Linked DNA regions of Ovis aries. The protein of the gene in region 1 purifies or fractionates together with the protein of each later gene. This does not show direct contact. Links are inferred from orthologs where the notes say so. Each region holds a gene or a part of one and is shown on either strand. Other genes may lie near its edges.

Region 1 (3,647 bases):
TTGGCTCCCTGGTCAGGGAACTAGCATACTGCATTGTGTTCTTGCTGAGTTGCTTCAGTCATGTCTGATTCTGTGCAACCCTATAGACTGTAGCCTTCTCTGTCCGTGGGATTCTCCAGTCAAGAATCCTGAAGTGGGTTGCCATGTCCTCCAGGGGATCTTCCCAACCCAGGGATCGTACCTGCGTCTCTTACCTCTCTTACATTTGGCTGGTGGGTTCTTTACCACTAGCACCACCTGGGAAGCCCTGCATGCTGCATGGCATAGCCTAAAATTTTAAAAAAACAAAACAAAACAAAAACCCCTGAATAACTCTCTGAGCTCATATCCCAGCATCCTGCACCTCAATGTACTTGTTTTTTTTTTTTTTTTTTTTTATTAATTTATGGCTGTGCTGAGTCTGTGTAGCTTCATGTAGGCTTTCTTTAGTTGCCGTGCATGGACTTCTCATTGCAGTAGCATCTCTTGTTGCAGAGCAAGCTCTACAGTGCACGGGCTTCAGTAGTTGCAGCGCACAGGCTTAGTTGCCTTCTTGCACCAAACAATATGTGGAATCTTCTGAACCAGGGGTCGAATGTTTGTCCCCTGCGTTGGCAGGGAGGCTTGCAAGCAGTGGCTGCCCATGGAATTCCCTCAGGACACTTCTGTATGCTGGATCTTTGTCTCTGCTGCTTTTCCTTTCCTTCCCGTTTCTCCGTCTGATGAGCTGCTACTTATGCTTAATAAGTGAAGCTATAAGGTGTCTTTCACCTGAAGCCATCTCTCACTATTCTAACGACACTGCGGTGTGGTTGTTGGTTGTGTATATCTACCACTCCTAGCAGACTGTGAACCCCTCCCCACAGATGCTGCATTCTACTTGTCAGTCTCTAGTTTTTATCCACGGCTGGTTCATAATAGGTGCTTAATAAGTATTTAATAATAAGCATCACTAGTGTGATAGGGATTGTGCTATTGACTTGCATTGAGTACGGTAATACTTTTTTGTCTGGACAGGTGCCATGATCCTTTAGGTGAAACGAAAGAAATGGCCAAGTGTTTGTTTCAAGATTTTCCTTTTCCCTCCCTCGTTTAGATAAAGAAATATCTGATGACGACGGGTCTGCAGATGGAGATTCAGAGGGCCTGGGCCTGGAGGAGTTTGATGAGGAAGCCCTGAGTGCTGAGGATCAGGAGGGTGAGGACGAGGGGGACAGCAGCCTGGCCTGGAAGAAGAGGAGCGGGAGCCACTCACGGACATCGTCGGGCTTCAGTGTCCAGAGCATCAGTGACTTTGAAAAATTTACTGAGGGAATGGACGACCTTGGTAGCAGTGCGGAGGAAGAGGAAGATGAGGAGGAGAGTGGTATGGAAGAAGGGGAAGGTGAGGAAGACTTTGAAGATGCGGGTGAGGAAGACAAGGCCGAATCCAGGGCCAGTGAGGACGACAGGGTGGTGATGACCTTCTCTGAGGTCAGAGTTTCCGAGGAGGTGGAGAAAGGCCGAGCTGTGAAGAATCAGATAGGTTTGTACACTGTTTGCTTGTTTTTCAGAGTGTCTGCATTTGCTCTCCGTTTTGTTTGTCTGTTTGTTTTAGGCAGTTTGCTCTCTCCCTTGTGTGTGTGTATGTGTGTGTGTGTTAATCACTCAGTCTTGTCCAACTCTTTGTGACCCTGTTGACTGAGCCCGCCACGCCCCCCCGTCTGTGTAATTCTCCAGGCAAGAATACTGGAGTGGGTAGTCATTTCCTTCTCCAGGGGATCTTCCCGACCCAGGGATCCAACCCACGTCTCCTGCACTGCAGGCAGATTCTTTACCATCTGAGCCACCAGGGAAGCCCTTGCTCTCTCCTGTGTCTTGTGTCCTGTCAGTTTGTTGGTGACGTGCCCCACTTACCTAGAGGCCTAAAGCACCATTCCCCTCTGCTTGGCCCACCCCTGCTACCCTCACCTGCTTCGCTGGCTCTGCCCTAGTACTTCGGGCGGCTGAGGAAGGTTGAGGAGACGAGCATCTTCTCTCATTGGGCTGTAGCATCCTTTCTCTCAGGTAGCAAGTCAAGATACTGGATTTATCCAGATATCTCGTGCGTCCAGATACTGGATTTATTTCCTGTAATAAATAGAGCGTCTCCATCGCATGAAACTGTGATAAAGCCGTGCTGCTTAGAGGCTGTTTTGATTTCTGGTCCCTCCCCTACTCCCCACCCCAGGAAGATTTTATAACTGAGAAATGGAATTCTATTTTCTGTCTCAGCACTGTGGGACCAGCTCTTGGAAGGAAGGATAAAGCTGCAAAAGGCTCTGCTGACCACCAATCAGCTTCCTCAACCAGATGTTTTCCCTGTCTTCAAGGACAAAGGTGGCCCAGAATTTGCCAGCGCCCTGAAAAACAGTAAGAGTACTTATGCCTCACTGGGATGCACAGAACCCTGGGGGTTCATTGGGATCTACTGGGATTGTATTCACAGCACCACGGAGTTGAGAAGACTTGGCTTTAGTGATGATATAAGATAGTGATTTTTAAGTTAAAAAAGATAGCAGTATAACCCTTTTGTCAGATGAAGGCAACTTTGATCAAGACAGATGGAGTTCTGTCTATTCTCCTTATTTCTACCCCTGATCTCACATGCTCTCCTCCTCCCCTTGGTTTTGAGTAATTTAAAAAAATTTTTATTTTAAAATCTAGGTTTTTTGTATTTATTTATTTGACTGGGCTGGGTCTTAGTTGGGACACACAGGATCTTTGATCTTTGTTGCGCCATGCTGGGTGCTTTAGTAGTGGCATGAGAACTCTTGGCTGCAGCATGTGGGATCCAATTCCCTGACCAGGGTTTGGACCTGGGAACCCTGCACCGGGAGTGCGGAGTCTCAGCCACCAAACCTTGAGGGAAGTCCCTGAGTTACTCTTTTAATGCTCAGAGAGAACCCACTGGTACAAAACGAAAGGGAGACAGTAAGTGACTAAACTCAGTTGGTTTAAGTTGTGTATCATGTGCTTAAAGGATGCCTTGCTTTGTTGGGTAGTTTCTAGAACAACATACAGAGATGACCTTACTTCTGTCTTCCTCTGAGTTGCATAGAGTGAGGAGAAGGTGGGGACCACAGAAGGAAGAAAAAGTTGTAAAGAACTCCTGGTCTGTGAAGTCCCAGAATTTTAGAAAAGAAAAGGAGTTTAGTAATTATTTTCCAGATGAGAGAACCAAAGTCCAGAGAGAGTGAGTTGCCCATAGTTATATAGCCAGATCCCTCCTGGCAGAGACAGACTCCTCCAGCCTTTTCTGCCTTCCAGTCTTGGAGCTGCCTGCTGTATGCCCGTGTGCCCAGCGGCACTGAGGACTGGGGCTGAGGGAGGTATGGGGTGCTGGGATTGCCATCCCTTGTTTGCAGGCTGAGACTTAGTGGTTTTTTTTTTTTTTTAATATTGATTGATTTGGCTGTGCTGGGTCTTGGTTGTGGCATGCAGAATTTTTGGTAGTGGCATGTAAGATCTTTACTTGTGGCATGTGAACTCTTAGTTGCGGCATGTGAGATCTAGTTCCCTGACCAGGGATTGAACCTGGGCCCCCTGCATTGGGAGTACGGGGTTGGAGCCACGGGACCACCAAGGAAGTCTTGAGGCTTATTGTTGTCATTTGCTCTTTCATGCTTGTTTTTATAATATCCTGGAGT
Region 2 (2,603 bases), on another chromosome or scaffold:
TTGAGCTCTGAGGATGAGGAGGAAGATGAAGCAGAGGAAGGCCAGTCTGGGGTTTCAGGGAAGAAATCTGGAAAAGGAACAGCTAAGAAATACGTCCCACCACGCTTGGTTCCAGTTCATTATGGTATGAACTGTGGCTGCTGCTTCCTCTGTGTGAATTGTGTTTCTCTTCTCTGTTCTGGGATAACCCTTGCTGATTTTTAATCACATAGATGAAACAGAAGCTGAGCGGGAGAAGAAGCGCCTAGAACGAGCCAAGAGACGGGCATTGAGCAGCTCTGTCATTCGTGAGCTAAAGGAGCAGTACTCAGATGCTCCAGAGGAAATCCGAGATGCTCGGCATCCTCATGTTACTCGCCAGAGTCAGGAGGATCAACACAGGTGTGTTAGAAGTTGTTTCTATGCTATAGGGACTTGTCCTTTTGTTTTGAATGAATATGATTAATCTGATTCCAAGAGAACCCATGTTATGTAGGAAATGGAGTACTAAACTTGGGTTAATGATTTCTAAGAATTAGAGTTTTGAAGTACATTATGGGGACTAGGGGAAAAATGTTGTTTTCCCACCCCTCAGACCCAAGCTGTTCAAGCTGAGCAAATGCTCCATGGAGGAAAAAAATATGCATTGCCACTGACTAAGGCTCTAAAGTTCTGTTTCACTATCCCTGCTCTTTATTTTCTGAAGAAAGCAAGAAAATCAGGTTTTTAGATTAGCTTAGGGAAGGAAAGTAGAAAAGCAATTGTTGAACACAAATTTGTCAACTTTGCCTAGGTGACTGTCTCTATAGTCGATAGATGTCAGTGAGGGGATCCTGTTTATGAAGCTGGAATACAAAGAATTTTCTTATGTAATAATTTAAATATTCCTGTGGACGGGCTGTGAGTTCATTTCTGGGGAGGAGGGACGTTTTAGCACAAAGAGCATTTCATTGAACATTGAGTACTGAGCATATAGTATCACCTCAGCAAATACTGTGGTGACTAGCTATGAAATTTCTTGAGAACTGTCTACATGATGGCTGAGTAAACACCTGGGCCAGGTTCTTGGCTGCAGCTTTCTGCCTCAGTGGACTGAGCATGCTGGAAACTGTCTATGTTTCTCTTGCAGGATTAACTATGAGGAGAGCATGATGGTGCGTTTAAGTGTCAGCAAGCGGGAGAAAGGACGGCGAAAACGAGCAAATGTCATGAGCTCACAGCTTCATTCCCTCACACACTTCAGTGACATCAGTGCTCTGACAGGAGGAACTCCTCATCTTAACGAGGTGAGGTGCTGATCCAGTGGTGGGAGGTGACCTTCATGCTTCAGCTAACTGTATGTGGGCTTATTACCACGAGGAACTTGGAAAGGGACACTAATATTGAAAGCGCACAGCCATTCCTTCCCTTCTCCGTGCATCTCCAGGATCAAAATCCTACTAAGAAGCGGAAGAAGATACCTAAGAAAGGTCGGAAGAAGAAAGGTGAGTGAATGGCTCAGACCTGGGTGATCAAGCGCAGGGTGGGCTTTATAAATTGAGATGCCGGCTCTGGGTTTGCCATTCTAGTTCTTACCAACCTCTACAGTGTATCTTCCATACTGGGCACTAATCTCTTTAGATGTGAGCCTTATTTTTTTCTTTTCCAAGATGAAAATCAGTATCATTCACAAAAGAGACTTCTGGATTCTGTCTCTGAAATCCCCATAGCTCCTGTGCAGGCTTGCTTACGTAAATATAAAAGCATCGCTTGAAGGAACTGCTATCCAATGTCAGTTTCCTTCCTCCTTCCTGTCTCTCATCCTGGGAGGATACAGAGCACTGCCACGGGGACCCACTCCTAAGGAGCCCTTTTCTCTAGATGGTCTTTTTGTCTGTCTCTTCGGTTTTTTCCAACTGTCCTTTGCCTCATTCTTGGTTTCCCTTCCTTTCAGGTTTTCGGAGGCGGCGGTGATTATGGGTGTACATACTTAATTTATTTTTGTCATCTGGGATACTTCTAATTTCATTGTATGTAGGTTTTTTCTTTGGAATTCATTAATCATATACTCTGGACATGTGGAAAGACCTTTATTAATAAAATTGATTTTACTTAACAAATTCAAGCCCCTTTTGCACATGTATTATATGACTGGAATCTCTGGGTGTGGGTATTTTTGGTGAGAGGGTGATGGAAAAGGGAAAGAGGAGATCTTGGGGGAGAATAAGAAAGTTTGGCTTTATATGGTTTTCTTTGACAAATATGTTCCCCAGAAACTAGAAATTGGCTAGTCAAAAAATATTGAGAGATTAGAGTAGTGTAATACATTCTTTTACCCCCATGTTGCCCCAAGTTCTTGTATGATTTATTGTTGTGATAATGCAGATAATCTGAAATATACGGACATTTTAAGATTTATTATGTATCTTATGGGGATCCCCAGGTGGCTCAGTGGTAAAGAACCCGCCTGCCAATGCAGGACATGTGGGCTCAATCCCTGCATCAGGAAAGATCCCCTGGAGGAGGAAATGGCAACCCACTCCAGTATCTTTGCCTGAGAAATCTCATGGACAGAGAAGCTTGGAGGGCCACAGTCCATGGGGTGGTAAAGAGTCTGTCACGACTGCACGCAGGCAATGTATCTT
Region 3 (3,647 bases), on another chromosome or scaffold:
TAACAATTTCATAATAATTTAGTAAATTGTGCCTTTTTTTTAATTTTTATTTTTACTTTATTTTACTTTGCAATACTGTATTGGTTTTGCCATACATTGACATGAATCCACCACTAGTGTACATGCATTCCCAAACATGAACCCCCCCTCCCACCTCCCTCCCCATAACATCTCTCTGGGTCATTCCCGTGCACCGGTCCCAAGCATCCTGTATCTTGCATCGGACATAGACTGGCGATTCGTTTCTTACATGATAGTATACATGTTTCAATGCCATTCTCCCAAATCATCCCACCCTCTCCCTCAGAGTCCAAAAGTCCGCTATACACATCTGTGTCTCTTTTGCTGTCTGGCATACAGGGTCATCATTGCCGTCTTTCTAAATTCCATATATATGTGTTAGTATACTATATTGGTGTTTTTCTTTCTGGCTTACTTCACTCTGTATGATCGGCTCCAGTTTCATCCATCTCATCAGAACTGATTCAAATGTATTCTTTTTAATGGCTGGGTAATACTCCGTTGTATATATGTATATATATTGTATATATGTACCACAGCTTTCTTATCCATTCATCTGCTGATGGACATCTAGGTTGTTTCCATGTCCTGGCTATTATAAACAGTGATGCGATGAACATTGGGGTACATGTGTCTCTTTCGATTCTGGTTTCCTCGGTGTGTATGCCCAGCAGTGGGGTTGCTGGGTCATAAGGCAGTTCTATTTACAATTTTGTAAGGAATCTTCACACTGTTTTCCATAGTGGCTGTACTAGTTTGCATTCCCACCAACAGTGTAAGAGGGTTCCCTTTTCTCCACACCCTCTCCAGCATTTATTGCTTGCAGACTTTTGGATCACAGACATTCTGACTGGTGTGAAGTGGTACCTCATTGTGGTTTTGATTTGCATTTCTCTAATAATGAGTGATGTTGAGCGTCTTTTCATGTGTTTGTTAGCCATCCGTATGTCTTCTTTGGAGAAATGTCTATTTAGTTCTTTGGCCCATTTTTTGATTGGGTCATTTATTTTTTTGGAATTGAGCTGCATAAGTTGCTTGTATATTTTTGAGATTAGTTGTTTGTCAGTTGCTTCATTTGCTATTATTTTCTTATGTTGCTTTTTAATAAATTGTTGAGTAAGATGTTTTTAAGCTGTCTTCCTGGGCAGATTTTATTCTAATATTAACTTTAAATTTTGACATTCTTTTTCTTACAGAGCCTTCCTAATATTCTCACTGATGATCGATTTAAAGTTATGTTTGAGAACCCTGACTTCCAAGTAGACGAAGAAAGTGAAGAATTTAGGCTTTTGAATCCACTTGTTTCCAAAATTAGTGAAAAAAGGAAGAAGAAACTGAGACTCTTAGAACAACAGGAACTTCATGGAAAAGTAATGTACTGTTTATCATTTAGAATTTGTGTAATATTTAGTTTTCTGTATAGGTTAGAAGAGTCATTGAATAAAGCTATAATTTGTTTGACCTTCAGCTTAGGAATATACCTTCTTTTATTAAAGACTTTTTTCTAATGCACGCAATGTCACAGACTCTGATAGGTTAATGCTATTTAAAAGGAAATAACGGGTCGATATTTTTGGCAGAGGGAAAGGAGCTGCTTCTTAACTATTTTTATTTTCAGGAAGAGGAGGAAGAACCGGAAGGAAAACCAAGTGATGCAGAAAGTTCTGAGAGTTCAGATGATGAAAAAGACTGGGTCGCAGAGGTCAGGAAACAGCGCCGGCTTCTCCAACAGGAGGAAAAAGTGAAGAGGCAGGAACAGCTCCGGGAGGATCAGCAGACGGTCCTCAAGCCGCAGTTCTATGAGATCAAAGCTGGCGAGGAATTCAGAAGCTTCAAAGATTCAGCCACAAAACAGAAGCTGATGAAGTGAGTAATGCTGCCCCTGATCCTGGCTTGCTCAGTGTCCAGCCTTGCTCTTCCTGGCTGGCCCTGTGCCCTCAAGGGGTCATCTTGATCTTTGGAGTTCATGTGACAGTAGCAGCTCGAGGCCAGAGGGGACATACACTGGTCCTTACTGTAGTGATTCTGAACAACTTTTTGAGGCATAGTTTACATAGAGTAGGATGCAGGGTGTAGCCCCAGGAGTATTGGTAAATACGTACATTAGAGCACTTTGATTCTGCAAAACCCACACTCTTAAAAATGATGGTGGCAATTGTAGAGGTAACAGCTTCTTTTCACAAAAAGTTATTTTTAAAATATTTCAGTTACGTTTACTCTCATCGTAGCTTATCTGAGTATTTAAAAGGTCACTTGGAAAATTTGCCAGGAATTTTTTTAGCTTTATGTAGGAAAACAAAGAGATCAGAAAGAATGGTATTCTGGAATAGGTGAGTACACAGGAACAGAAAGTGGAATGGTGGTTGCCAGGGTTGGGTCCTGGGGAGACACCACTTAATGAGCTATGCGGTTTCCATTTGGAATGATGAGAAAGTTCTAGAAATGGATAGTGATAATGGTTGCACAACAGTGTGACTGTTCACTGAAGAATAGTTAAAATGGTAAGTTTTATGGTTAAATATTTTACTACAGTAAAAATTTTAAAAAGTCATCGTTAAAAAGAAATGGTATTATTTGAACAGTCTCAGTTGTCAGGTGTCTAAGTAAGGAGTTAGGTGTTTAAGCCCCCAGTGTTTATAAGCTCTAAGTCACATGAGAGTCACATGAAATTCTCTGCTTTGAGAATTTCTTGGCCGAGTGTTGATATACGGGATCTGGATGTAATAGAGTAGACAATCTTGTAAGAAGAGCCTAAAGGTCTGGGAGGCCAAGGGGAAAGGGCGGGGGGTGCCAAGCAAGGCAGATGAGGCATCAGACAGGGGCTGTTCCAGTTCTGTGCCCTGTGCTTTTCTAACCCCCAGCTTCCTGGTTTGAAAATTGTGCTTTTTCAGACAGAAGAAGAGGGGAAAGGTGGGGAGGACATTGATAGATAGACTGAATTGTTTCTGGAATGGAGAGATGCCCATTCATCTTTATTTTGCCAGTTTCTAGCGAATGTCTGAGGCACAAAATGTTGAGGGAATCCTTCAACTTAGATCCAGGAGCATCTAGAAATTCTGGCTGTGCCTAACAGAAGATACATCAGTAGACAAACAATCTAGTAATAGGTTTAATATCTCATGAGAAGATTTTCTTTACCTACCAACCTCACTTTTTTTTGGTAACAAGTTTCTTTAAATGTAATTTACATAACTATCACATACATAAAGTACATAGTCCACTGGTTTTTGGTATAGTCACAGAGTTGGACAGCCACCGCCAGAGTCAGTTTTAGAGCGTTTCGTCACAGCCCCACAAGCAGAGTTCCTTACCCCATCCGTCAGTATTCACGCCCATTTACTCCATCTCATCTCACCCCCAGGCAACCACTGATCTGTTCTCTAGCTCTATAGGTTTGTCTTTTGTGACATTTCATGTGAATGTTATCATATATGTGGCATTTTGTCCCATTGCCTTTACTTGGAATGATGTCTTTAATGTTCATCCATGTGGTAGCATGTGTCTGTTCCATTCAGCTTTATTCCAGGGTATGGGTAATGCTGCATTTTATTTATCCATGTATCAGTTGATGGGTATGCTTGGTGTTTCAACCTTTCAGTGCTGCTGTGAACATCTGTATATGTGTT

The links.
Region 2: the proteins of AATF (region 1) and NGDN purify together in Homo sapiens (affinity purification with mass spectrometry; 3 studies listed by BioGRID and IntAct, with this or other methods). This does not show direct contact. The link is inferred for Ovis aries from reciprocal best matches to the Homo sapiens genes AATF and NGDN.
Region 3: the proteins of AATF (region 1) and NOL10 purify together in Homo sapiens (affinity purification with mass spectrometry; 4 studies listed by BioGRID and IntAct, counting the BioPlex papers as one, with this or other methods). This does not show direct contact. The link is inferred for Ovis aries from reciprocal best matches to the Homo sapiens genes AATF and NOL10.

Annotation. Positions count from the first base shown.
Region 1 is NC_056064.1:13,005,544-13,009,190, forward strand, and holds part of AATF (protein AATF), read left to right. Parts: intron 1-1,075; coding exon 1,076-1,504; intron 1,505-2,232; coding exon 2,233-2,370; intron 2,371-3,647. UniProt on the Homo sapiens protein: Part of the small subunit (SSU) processome, first precursor of the small eukaryotic ribosomal subunit.
Region 2 is NC_056060.1:21,271,537-21,274,139, reverse strand, and holds the end of NGDN (neuroguidin), read left to right. Parts: coding exon 1-124; intron 125-212; coding exon 213-381; intron 382-1,108; coding exon 1,109-1,265; intron 1,266-1,405; coding exon 1,406-1,463; intron 1,464-1,912; coding exon 1,913-1,932; 3' UTR 1,933-2,078; downstream 2,079-2,603. UniProt on the Homo sapiens protein: Part of the small subunit (SSU) processome, first precursor of the small eukaryotic ribosomal subunit.
Region 3 is NC_056056.1:19,750,873-19,754,519, reverse strand, and holds part of NOL10 (nucleolar protein 10), read left to right. Parts: intron 1-1,217; coding exon 1,218-1,391; intron 1,392-1,639; coding exon 1,640-1,887; intron 1,888-3,647.